Linked DNA regions of Drosophila melanogaster. The protein of the gene in region 1 interacts with the protein of each later gene in a pairwise test. Each region holds a gene or a part of one and is shown in the gene's direction. Other genes may lie near its edges.

Region 1 (6,937 bases):
ATACCCAAGTGCCATCTGCTAAGGGGAAAAGCGGCTACATACAAAAAAAAAAAAAGTGACCGGGAAAATTAAATGAATGAAAAGTGCTAGAAGAAAAGTGTAAAGCAATGACGGCGACGCCTTTTCGCCATTTTCGCAGTTTGCGGCTTGGTGGGAAATGGGGAGAGAAAAGCGTATGGGGCTGGTGATGGTGGAAAACTGTGGCGAAGATTCCCAGCCATTTGTGTGCGTAGTTGGCGAAAGTTTATTAAACATTTAAATTCACTCATTTCTCGGTGGAACTGCTCCTTTCTTTTTCGGCTGGGGAAATGACCAAAAATTGAAATTATTTCATGTCCGGTGTCACCATTTTCGGCTACCGTTTTGGGTTCAACTTGGTTTGGTTCTGGGGTTCTTTTGCTGTAAAATTAATCCATTGATGCAGAACTTCTGAAACTTCATTTTCAACGGAAATTTATAAATTTTGGGCCAGCGGCCTTGGCCGGCCCTTGTTTACTCATGTCCTGCATGCTTCCGTTTTTCCACTTTTCCACTTTCTCTGCCTTTTCGGCCACCGGAAACGACCTTTTCTTTCTGCATAATTTCGGGAAATATGTTTGCAGCAGTTGGTAATGTTTCGGGTAAAGTTTGGGCCAATGATTTATGGTGGGAATTCGTTTTAAAACGGTTTAGTCGTCTTAGAAGCGTTTTAACACAAACGGGCTAATTTTATTGTTTTTATTTGTTTGATATAAATCAAAGCCAATATGAAAGCATGTTTATCTTTATTCCTAATACTTATATAAATTTATTAATATTCTGATATATTCCGCTTATATTTATCGTGCAAAAAGCTTCACCAATTGTTTGTCAGAAATGAAATTTAAATATTATTCCACTTGGTAAAAATGTTTCTATTAAAATATGGAGTATACTGTAATTCAAATGTGTTTTTTTTGTTGTAATTGATTAAATCTGGAAAAACATGATAAGATAAATGCCTAAAATTATATTCCTCTTAAAAATCCGTTGAAAAAATCTATGTTAAGCCCAAGAACACCTGAAGGGCACCGAAAGTACCTTGCAAAACTTTGGCAAATGACCAACAGCGCTGCGGTGCCGAAGGAATACATCCCGATGCGAATGCATCCTTTTCGGTAATAAAATCGCGTTTAGACATGGTCCTTTGCAATCACAAATCCTATTCAAACCGCTCGGCTTGGCTTTGATTCCGAAAGCCCCGAAAACTTTTCCGCCCCCAAATTGAAAGGAATCTTTGTAGTGCACAAGTGTGTGTGTGTGTGTGTGTGTGTGTGTGTACGGCTGCTCGAAGCAGAGGCTCTTTGGCATTAGCCACCATCCTGTGCTCCTTGATCCTGGCTCCTTTCAATGGCTCACCTTGTGAGAAGAGCATATACAATGGGTACACCCACACACGCACACACCACCCCACTTCGTCGCATTCAGACTCTCACTTATTAGAGGAAAAGCAGGTGAAACCCATCCTTAAGGCGGTGACGTTGCACTCGGAAGTCAGTCTGAATATGCAGCCCAGAAAATGGCAATAATGAAATCAAAATGTGAATGCCCTTTGCATTTCCTACTTACAGTTTGACCCTGTTACGAGCCAAGCAAAAGCAAAAGCTACAGATGAGCCTGGTCAGCCTGCAGGCACTTCCTTTGCCTGCCACGCCCCCCGTTGAATAAGCCCTCATTAGTCCCCCTTTCGAGAATTATGCGGCTTCGCAGCGTTGGCTGCTGCATTAAATTTGCATTCGAAAGCTGCGTTCGAAAGTTGAGACAAATCCTTGCCAGGCATTCGTTATGAGGATTCTTTTAGGGCCGCAGGTCAAAGCAAGTTTGGAGAAGCTTATTCAAATTATCAGATTTAGATACGAAGAACTCTCTCAAAATGGTAAACTAATATAAGCCAAGACTGTGTTAAATGGCAAAAAATAATCTTAAAGCAAATAGTTTCGTTAATAAAAATTTGATGCAATGATTGGGCTTTACAAACTTTTTTTAATCATATCCCCCTTCACTTGTTAATTTTTTTTGTGAACTCTACACAACCACTACTCTCCGCCTCGCACAAGAATCGGCAGTCTGCAAAGTATAGAGTTCTTCTTTTGACATTCCTATGGCGACTTGACCGCAGGATGTTTGTTACACTCGTATAACTTAAACCCCTCCAAGTACGAGAATGGCGCGAAGAAACGCCACATAACTCCATTAGGATTTTTAGGACAAGTTCGAGTCCCGCATATGTAATTAAAATATGTTCAAGGATCTCTGAATCTCTCAAGTAACGTTCAAGTAACTTACAGTAAATTAAATTTCACTGGAAAATAATCAATAAATGAAAATGAATGCTATAGTTCCAGAAGAACGAACTACATATATTTTGTTTCTATTACGTTTCCTAATATACATACATGCATGCCAACAGATTACGAACTTTATCCGTTTTATTAATGTTCTGGGCTACTATTATTGTAAATCTCTCGATGTTCCCCGTTTTAATTTATTTGCCAGACACAATGCGGTCGACAACAATTGCAGGACGTCGGCTGTCCTAATGGAAAATGGCCGGATCAAACCCTCAATCCTTTCAGTCACGTTTGTCCTTGTTGCCTCGCCTGGAATTAGACAACGAGTCGACCTTGACCCGACTGTTGACTCCATTGTCCACCCCGTTGGCTCGGATGGCTTAATTTTATATTTCCGTTGTAAATACACCCAAAACTGGTTCCATTCACATTCCGACACTAATGTTTTAACATTTCATTATTCGTTTTTCAAACACCAAGCTTAAAATATTTCTACCACTCAGATGATTGTTGCACTATTGCGTTAAATTGATGATTGTTAAATCTCATATTTGGTCAATTTGCTATTCATCACCTCTGCTTTTAAAATCGATTAAGCAGTGTTGTCATCTTATAAAATTGAGATGTGGAGAAAACTCTTAAGAAACTAGTTCTTTCGTAAACAATATGGCCGTGTTTATAACTTCGTGTAGCAGGCTTGTAAAAATGATAACAATCGCTGTTAAATTTCCAAGGAATCACATATTTAACAGTGTATGAAAAACGCAATATTTGTTTTTTCTAACTTTACAAATTAAATTATATAACTAATCCCCAATATCGCCATTCACCCAGAAAAATAGTTTTATCGATAAGTGGGTATCTCCATCCCTGGCTATAGCACGTTTCGGAAGAAAGTTTTTTTTTGACAATAAGATAATTAATACTATAAATAGCTTATACAATGGATACCCACATTGTTTGTGACCAAGTCTTTATTGCGCATGCTGAAGATGAATTGTTACTTATTTACGACAATGAAATTAATTTCGGGGAGGATCCTGCCCCAATCTATGATGACGTCTGGCAAAGCGAAGAGGACGTGACCCCAGAAGAGATTCTAGCCGACGTCAAAGACTACGGAGCTTTAGAGGAAGTAATGGACACTCCTATAATTTACGAAATCTCGGATAGCGAGAATGAAATGACTCCAGAAGAGAATTTAAACGAGGTCGTAGACCACGATTCGAGGAAAAAAAATGTCACTTACGATGTAGACGTTTCGGCCCTAATCCAGAATACCGAGCTCTTTCAACCAGAAAAACTTATGGTCTACATTCACGGTCCAAATTTCACGTTTCCAGATTCGGGATTCTTTGCAGAGCAGGGAGATAACTTGAATGCAAACAATGTAACCTACAAGACGATCGCGTCTGATACTATTAGCCATTCACCTGGAGAAGTGACCGATGTGACAGGCGTAATCTGTTATCACAGCCATGACTTCGTCTTCCAGGCATACTCGCCGCCATCGATCCCCAGCTTGCATGCCGACCATTGTCCTCGTCACTTCAAAACCTCACGAAACGTCTTCTGGGCCGAAATGGAGGAGGTGTCCTGCATCCTGCTGCATTCGGCGGCCGCCTATTTAGAGGCCCCCGCTTATGTGCACGACGACACGATTGCTTTTGTTGCCAAGGGTCTCGCCTTGGCCAAGGAATTCATGACCGATGGGGAAACTCCCCAGAGCAGACCGCAGAGCATCGGTCGCCTGGTGGCCGCCATTGTCATGGACAGGAAGTCGGCCGTTGTAATGGCATATGCCGTGAACCACTTCGTTCCTCAGACCATGACCGATGACAGCACAGGCGAGGTGTTAGGCATAATGCTCAATAACGTCATTCGCGGATTTGCCATCAACGACCACCTCCGTCGTATCATTATCAAAAAGACCTGCCCCGTTCTTTCCGTGGTGAACCAAATTCCAAACTAATAGTTCCCCGGCATCGCATCGAATCAATTTCATATTTTCATCATATCATCATGTGTGGCTAGTTTGAGCATTTGGGAAGGTAACACAAGAATAACCAGAAAACTGAATATAAGTGATAAAATAACGGTTGTCCTTGTAACTTTTAAGGTGTCTGTCAATTTTTTAAAATTAAAATATACAGGCTTTGTTTTAACATGTTGTTATCAGAAATGGGTTCCTATAATGAACACTATGTGATTATTTTTTATTAATCATATAAGGTTTTAAAGATAAGAAGAGAAAATCAAAAACTGTCCCGTCAGTGAATTTTGAAATGTTTTATTTTTAAGATGTATGGGAAAAAAACTAGTAATGATAAATAATTCTGTGGCTTAAAAAAAAAGGCATTTTAAGCTTAGATTTTCAGATAACTAAATGAATGCTTTAAAATGTGGTTTGCATATAAAAATTTTAACTATTTTGCACATTGCTGTATGTACCAGATGTATAATAAATCTTGCTTATGATTAAATAAATAAATAAATGAATAATTTTTTTTTAAATTTGTACTTACCATAAGTGTTGGACTTTTTTTTTCTTAAACTCCAATGAAAAGACTTCTTTAAGTTATTCAATTGTATTATTTTATTGTATGTAATGCAATAAATTTGTCAGTTAAAGTTCACATAGTTCTTAGTTTCGTTTACATATGTATATGTGTATGTAAGTATTTTCGTTATTAGTCGGTACTTAACATTAAACTTTGCTATATCATGAGTACACGTGTGTTCGAGTGTCTGTCTTTAAAAGGTAACGTCCACACCTCTGCGAATTTGGGACTTTTGCGTTTAATGCGATTTATTTACAATTAGTCGGGTGTTGATAATTACACGAATGGCGTCTACACGTTAATCGAGTTGATGAAAAACACTTAAGAGCTTAGAAATGTATTTTGATTTCGATTTGTATCGTACTTGCCTATGGTCATATATGTACGCCGCTTAGGTCTAACAAACTGTCATTGTTCAACATTCACTTAAATGGGGTGTCCAACCGGCTGTTGGTGGCTTTTTGGCGGGAAATTAAAAGGCTGAACATAAGTGTCAGGGTTGGGCGCTGCTGTGGGGTGGGTGGCTGAAAGGTGGTTAGCCGCAGACCGCGAACATTTGATGCATGCAAGCCGGAATGTGTTAATTGTCCACACCCGTAAAAAGAAAAGCCCGCCCCTGCTGTAATATTGACCACAGAAATTTATTTCCGTGGCTTTTTCTCGCCCGTCTGTCTGCGAAGCGTGTTTGCGTTGGCTCACAGCTGCTTGCGGTTAACTTGGCCCGGGATCAATTTGTTAAGCGCTCAAAGACGGGCGCATCCAGTATACGCAGGGTGTGACAGCCGACGCCTTGGGACAATCGCACACATAATTAATGCCGCTTTGAGGGCATTGATTGAGTGGGAGTGGGCCTGCACCTAATTGCAATTAAGTTGACGCTGCAGCCTCAATTTCTACGTACACACAAATTCACGAGCAGAGACAACTTTAATTAATTTCAGACGATTTTTATGGGATTTGCCGTGGATCGGGGGAGTGCGTGTAATTAAAAAGGACGTTAAGTGGATAAATAAATACGAGCCGAGCCTGCGGGTTGGCGATGCACACGATGTTTACATTTTGTCCGTTTGATTCGTTTTATTTATTTCTTTGGCCGCCTTGCGCCTTTGTCTCCTGCCGCTATTTGTTTATTTATTTATTTTATGTATTTATTTGTATCGTTTAAATGCAATTCATTAGTGTTTGGAATACGTCTCTGGTTGGATTCTGCCATTTATATTATTTGTATATTCAATTAATTTACATTTTGCTGAACGATTTCGCAATAGAGTTATATACAGTTCGCGATTCAGTCCGCTGAATTCAATAAATTTACTTTCGTTATCAATTAAATTGTTTTTGCTTTCGTCCATTCCGATCAATGAGTGTATTTGCTATAATTTTTTGTTCTTACGCAATATTTACTTTATGAATTTTGGGTTTTCCCGCATGTTTCGAGCTTGTTCGTGAGATAAGAGCACATAAAATAGAGTTCCATAAATTGGCTATGCAAATGTTTGCGATGTGGCACATACCACATCGGACTCCGAATATGTGGGTGCTATGTTTGCCAAAGATAATGCTGAATATACTCCTTGGAAATCATTCAGAACTTCTCCGATCCCTGGGACGGCCTATTCAATTTTTCAAATTTATTGGCGTAAGAAGTTTTATTTCCCCTGACCAGAAACGAGGTCACCGGCCAGAGTCTAGTATTTGCTAAAAATAATAAATATTCAAAACTGTCCGGCATCCGTGTGTGAGTGAGAGAGAAAGAGAGAGAGAGAGAGAGAACGAGGAGGTGGTGGACGAAAACTGTGCGAGAAGTGCGGGAGATATGGCTAATTGAAAAGTTCAGCATGTCGCCGCATAGAAAGGAGACAGCAAATGTTGTTCCAGACTCAAATTGCCATGCAAATGAATTCGAGTAGCATTTTTCCAAAATGGCATTCGTTTGATGGCAGGAATTTCCCAGATCCCGATTCCCCTTCCTGACCGGCTCGCCCATGCGGTCCGAATGGTTTCAGGATATCGATGCAGTTTCACATCGGACTGCATAAATATTTACTGTTATTCATTTATGCAAAC
Region 2 (6,800 bases), on another chromosome or scaffold:
AGTTCCGCCAGCCATGTTAACTCCACCTAATAATTTATTGATCCAAATGCACTAATTACTATTTACAAATCCCGGCCCTGCTGCTACACCCTGTAGAAGCACTCCCTGGCCTGTGGCTCGCAATTGTCGTAGGGTTTCAGCATGGCATCACCGTGAGCCACCTTGCCGCCGGCATCGATCTCGTCCAGCTCCGCATCCGGCACACAGGCGCACTGGAAACTCTTGTTGCCGCGACTGTACAGCTTGCGCGGATAACCGATCCAGGAGCGCTCCTTGCCATCGCCACTGGTCGTGGTGCACCAGACGCGAGTGCCGCGCTCCTCGCTCCACTCGATATTGCAGCCGGGATACCGGGCACGCAGCTCCTCCACCTGTCGCTTGGCATCTCGTGCCTGCTCCAGCAGCTCCAGAAACTTATGATGATAGGTGGTCAGGGCGCCCTTCTCATCGTAGAAGCGCCCAATTACCCGTCCCTTGTAGACGTAGTCCTTTTGATAGAAATCCCGCCATCCGGCCAAACCAATCAGGTCGTCCGGCTTTAGGGTTAACACATCGTCGGCCGTTTCCGGATCGTACGTCTCAAAATCACCGGAAATGAAGGATACGGAGGCGTCGCGACCCACGAAGAAGTTGTAGCTGCAGCCGGATCCGTAATGCTTAATGCCGCGGCTCACATCGAAGACGGAACCGAGTAGAGCCAGGTAAAGCGGACGACCCTCTTCCTCGCCATTGAATTTGGCCAACTCGGCCGGTGTAAAGAGCGTGCCGATATCGTCACCAGCTTGGAACGCCAGGGGAATGCTCGCATCCTGCCCAGCTTGGTCCAGGTAGTTGTCCGTTTGGCGACGCAGGAACTGCCTAATCTCTGTGTGATAAATTCCGCCCAGAACGGCTGCCACAACGAAAAGAAATTGAAATTTGAACAGGTGTCGCAGCAATCCGAACATCTTGCCGTTTAACAGTGCGGAACCGAAACTGGTTCCACTTGAAATTGAAACTAGCGTACGGTTAAGGTGACCATGCCAGATAACAGACCGGAAAACCGGTTTGAATTTAAAATTTTGTATTTTCATTCTATGTATAATAATGTAAGTTTTTCGATTAACTCCGTTATTTATTTATACTTTCGTACACAAAAATTGAACTTTAAAATAAATTCTTTCTAAAATGTTAGCACACAAATCACACTGCAACAAGCAACACTGCAAAAAAAAAAAAAATAACTAAATAACATTTGGCATAGAACATGCATAATTTTTATTTGCAGAATCCAGGTAAATAAGTTTGTGTTCACCTAGCGACGACGGTAGACGCAGGCGTCGATGTTGTTGTTCACCTCCTGGAGACCGAGCACCGCCTGCGAGGATGCGGAGTGGGTGCACACATTGCCATCGGCGAAGACGTCCGGGATGCGTTCGCTGGTCGACTGACGGATGGTCTTGATGGAGGAGCGCGCACTGACCAAATAGACGGTGGCCTGGACATAGAACTTGGCCAAGCAGGTCTGCTTCAGCACGGAGTTCTTGTACGAGTTGCATTTGTTGTAGGTGCTGGCCAGGCTGTAGCCACCGTAGACCAGTTGCTGGGTGGCGGCACTCACATCGGAGGCAATTTCGGCGGATGTCTGGGCGGCCACAACGCCGCAGGCGTACAGATCCTCATGGGCGGCATTCACGATGCGGGTGATCTCCTCATCCTCGGCGGCCACGCATTCGGGACTCTCCTCGCGACGCGACTCCACCTGCTCGACGGCTGCCTCCAATTCGTTTTGCGGCTCCAGGACGATCTCTTCGTACTGACTCAACAGTACCTCGCCGGTCGCCTTGCCAATGCTGGTCATCTCATCCACCACGCTGCGCACCTGGGCGTCCAGCTGGCTGGGCATGTCCAGCGGTTGGGCCCATCCACTGGCAACGAAAAGGGTTAGGATAATGGCAACGGTGTATTGCTTCATGTTTGATACTTTAGCTTCTGCTGATGGGGAATTTTTTAGTACAAATCGTATTTATACCCTGGTCATCCAGGAATGGATTATTCGCAGACGGTAATTGGCTAATCTGGATTGGTGGCCATAAATTTATTGCAGCCATTGTAAATCACTCACGGTTTGGTTGGATTAGTGAACTTTACATTCGGACGCTATTCATTGAGTTTAGCGTATTTGGATTTAGATTAAAATTAGAACGATCAAACAAAGAATGTTAAAAACATCATAACAATGGCTTGTATGTACAATGCCACTTAATGAATGAAAAGGGTAGGAACTAAATGTGTAAATACAATTTAATTTATTATTTGTTTACACATTTTTTTTAAACAGCATAAAAGCATATTAAAGTAATCCTTTTATATGATTATATCTTACACCACTTGGTTTATCTGGCAAAAGAAATCAAAGGAAAATCCAGTCAGATATCACAATTAAAAATTTAATATAAAAAAAAAAAAAAACGGTGAACTGGGAACACCCAAAAAAGGCAAACAACATTAACGCGTGTGTGTCTAATGTCTCAAGTGATTCCATAGATTGGATTGCCACTGTTTTCTTTCCTGACTTCGCAATGACTTTTAATCGAGGGCATAAGCAGTCCCATAAATTATATGACATTATCTTCTATAATTATGGCATTATTTAGATGCTTCGATTAGTGCGATTTTGAAGTGGCGAATCCAGTAATAGATGTTTCCTATCGCTCAACGCAATATAATATAATTTGTGATCTTATCGAAAGTCTCCCTCTCTTTTCAGCCCACTTTTCTCTCTCTCTCTCTCTCTCTCTCTCTCTCTCTCTCTCTCTCTCTCTCTCTCTCTCACTCTTTCTTTCTCTCTCTGGAGTCGTTGGGGACAAAAAAAAAGTAAGACGGAAATTATTGCGATTAAAGTTAGCCAAATAATGGGAAATATACCAATTGGCCGATAAAAAAGAACTCTTGAATATATTTTAATTAACTGGGGGCACCGATATGGCAATCTGAATGCGCACCAAGTGTGTCGTCCATCCATATATAAAGTGACTTCGCAGCAAGATCTCGTCTAAATCCATTCAAAAACCAACAATGAGGAGTATTATTTTGGTGTTGTCATTCGCCTTGGCGGCTGTGAGTAGAAAATTAAAGATATATGCCATGTAAAATCCAATAAAAATATAAGTTTTCTAAAAATGAAACAAAACTAACAGTTTTGATTTGGCAAAAAAGAATAGGATTCATTTTATCAAGCCTATCGAAATAACAGATCAACAGTGCGTATGCGCGATATCTGATAAAAACCTTATCGTTTTAATATTGCTCTGCGTTTGAAACATATTTTAGAAAACAGTGATACTACTTTTCGAATATATTTCAAATGCAAACAATAAACTTACGAAAAAATGTATAGTTGCCAAGGAAGATTTTTAAAGTTGGTCCACAGTGCGTATGATTAATGTGATTTGCCATAGTTAGCATTGAAATCCACCAGCGTTTACCACAAAGATATAACAAATCAAATTGAATGCACATGATTTTCAGGTCTCAGCCTTGCAACTGGAGGAGCCAGTGGTTGAACAGGATGTTTCTCTGCAGGAATTGGCCAAGCAACTGGGTCTCGAACTGAATCTGGACTTTGACTTGGGACTGAAACTAGACCTGGTTGACGAGCTGCCCGAGGAGGGCATCCTGGATGTGGACGAGCTCGCCATTCTGGATCGCACGTTGCGCTTGCTCATCGCCGAATCGAAAGCTCTGGCCAAGGAGATCATTCTGCTGACGGAGCGCCAGCTGCTAAAGATCTTCCTGTGGCCAATTAAGGAGCTGGAGAAGCTGGCGGAGGATGTGGAGAGACGGGCATTGGATGCGGGCGAGTGTGCCATCAATGTGACCAGCAGTTCGGCCGATTTGGTGGCATCCACCACACTAGACTTTCTGGGCTGCGCACGCGATGCTGCCGTCACGTCGATCAATCTGGTGCTGGACACCAAGAAGGCGGTGCTCCAACTGACCCTCGATGGCTATCAGCTGTATCAATTGAGAAAAGAATGCAACAGTTACAAGGCTAATAGCATTCGAAAGAAGACATGCAAGGTCAAGTTTACCACCAAGGGCATCCTGTACGTTGCCAATGGACAGGCCTCGTTGCGATACCTGATCAGATTGCGAAAAAGCGTTCCCGCCGTGGCTACCGATGCCACCAGCTGCACCACCAAGTCCACCGAGAATGCCATCCAAGGATTTGACGACCTGAACGCCGCCATCGATGCCTGTGCTGCAAATTTTAAGTGAATGTGAAAAGTGACAAAATAAAAATATAAAAAATGCATCCAAGTTATATGAAGAAAATCGATTTGTTTTGGTTTTTTGAGTTATTAGTTTTATTTAAATTTGGTTTCATTATCGTTCATCTTCTTTAAATACAATAAATAAACATTTAAACTATTTAGTGGTATGTATATATATAAATCGTTTGTTTTTGTTTTTTTTTTTTTTTGTTAAATATTTTAAATAAGTGTATATATATTGTATTTCATGGGGTCTTCGCCATCAACTTTTGCCGCGATTACATAATTGTTCTTCGTTTTTCGTACCAAAACTTTTGCATTTTCGGGATTGGTTTGTTTTGGTTTCTTGGTTTTTTAGTTTTTAAAGAAACTTGGTTTGTTTTGGTTTGTTATATAAGTAAATTGCTGTGTTCGGGCTTACGGTCGTCAAATGTCTCCTATATATTTTTTGTATATATAAATATATATGTATATATATATAATATATATTTACATATATATCGTACTATATACCACACACATTGGCGTGTAAGTAAAAGTAGCTTGTTGCATAAATACTAATGTATAAATTGTCGGTTTTTGGTTTCTAATCTCTACTCAAGTATGATCCCACATACAAATACAACTAAGTTTTGCATGTACTGGTATATCTGTATATGTATGTATATGTGTCTGTGTGTGGGTGTGGGTGTGGGTGTGTGAGTGTGAGTGTCGGCTGTACATATGTAGAATGTATGTACCATTATCAATAATTAGTTAAACTGTAGCTAGTATATGTATTTGCCATATGTTGCTCAACAATTTCTTGTACCTCCCGCATTTTACGATTATTTTATTGGAGTTTTTCATTTTCATTTTCGATTGCAGTGATTTCTCGTGATTTTCAATTATATATGTTTTGTTTTTTGTTTTTTTTTTTTTCATTAGTCACAGATGTTTTTAGGCGCGCTTGTATGCTTTAATGAATTCAGCGTGTGTTGTATATTATTAATAATTCAATTTGTTATAGTAGAAAAAAAAAATATAAGTAAAAGGCAATTTCTTAGTATTTTTCAATTTTTTGTTGGTTTTTTTTTCTGAAAAAATTTGTGCTTAATTTTGTAGAGATTTTCTTTCATTGCCTGCCTTCTATTCGTTTAAAACAAAAAATGTTAAGATATTTTTTTGTTTAGGTTTTTTGTGTTTTTGGTTTTTTCTTTAATTTTAATAATGTATAATATTTAGTTCAATAAATTCGTTACGACACATGGACTAAGACACAGCAAAAAATATTCATGCTTAATTTAGATTCAGTTTTGTGTGATTTCTTTTTTTTTTTGTTTTGTATTTTTCGTATTCATCTCGCATTTGATTTGTTATAATTGTTAGATCTTTTTGCGGTATTATGGTTTCAATTGCATATTATACTTCACATACTTCGCGTCCTAAATGCGCTTGTAAATATTTGTCAATAATAAATGATGAAACAGCTTAAGAACTCGAGTTTTCTTTTTTATTTGTTATTTTTTATAATTTATGTTATTTTCATTCGCGAATATTTTGCAAGACACCTGCCGGTACATAGTTTATCTGTCAGCTTCCAAAATTTATAGTTATTTTCGAAATTCTTTGCTTTTGGGGCTAAACGTTCAACGGTTTTACGCTCACTGATAACATCCAATCGGTAGTTGGTAATCGTTAATTGGTAATCGGTAATCGGTAATCGGTATCGGTAATTTATAGATAATTTCGTATTTTCCGTATTCTCGTATGCGGTATTCGGTTTTGATATGTTCGCTTCAAATGCGTGTCATGAAAATACATTTGCTTTGCTGATTCTGCAATACAACTTCATTTAATAAAAATATACAGTAGAACCAGGCTACTACATAAGTACATAGTTAATTTTTTTTTTGTTATCTATATGTATGTCTGTTGACTAAATTGGGCAAATATTTATATTTTTACTTTAATTTGTTCATTGGGCGTTGTAATTCCGTATTCGTTCGTAAGTGCAAAAACATCATTTTTGAAACTGCATTTCATCTTCGATTTTCCATATTCATTTTCAACCGTTTTGGTTTCATTTTTTTTCAATATTATTATTACAATAGTGTGGCCAAAGCTTATTGTCGGAAGCGTTATGCATTTTAGGTTTAGTTTTTCATTATTTATTCGGTTTTCTAACTTTTCTTTAATGTTTTGTAAAAATATTTTCGTTACTCGTCAATTTCGTTTTGGAATGATGGAACATTAAAATGAAATGGGAAAAAATGAAACGCAAAATGTAAAAGTTATCGAGTTTTTTTTTGTTTTTTTTGTTTGGAAAACATGGTAAGGCTATTTTCGTAGTGTTGTTTGCTGTCATTTTCTCCACACTTGAGTTATTTGCGTTTTGAAAAATGAATATTTCATTTTGGTTCTTTGCTTATATTAATCACTAAAATTTATATTTGTTGTATATATTTTTCCTTCGATAAATGTATATAAATTTTTTTTGTTCTGGTTTTCTTTTCTTTTGGCGTAACTTTGTGTGAGCTGTGATTTTTTTTTTTTCGCTTTTTT

What was found. Proteins that work in one complex are often made in the same cells at the same time.
Region 2: the proteins of CG15185 (region 1) and CG12115 interact in a two-hybrid assay, tested with the Drosophila melanogaster proteins (one large-scale study listed by BioGRID).

What each region holds. Positions count from the first base shown.
Region 1 is NT_033777.3:6,524,277-6,531,213, forward strand, and holds CG15185 (uncharacterized protein), read left to right. Parts: upstream 1-3,231; 5' UTR 3,232-3,252; coding exon 3,253-4,281; 3' UTR 4,282-4,398; downstream 4,399-6,937.
Region 2 is NC_004354.4:9,186,839-9,193,638, reverse strand, and holds CG12115 (uncharacterized protein), read left to right. Parts: upstream 1-3,033; 5' UTR 3,034-3,057; coding exon 3,058-3,099; intron 3,100-3,510; coding exon 3,511-4,260; 3' UTR 4,261-4,313; downstream 4,314-6,800. Other genes in the region: CG12056 (uncharacterized protein), read right to left, coding at 84-947; CG12057 (uncharacterized protein), read right to left, coding at 1,295-1,954.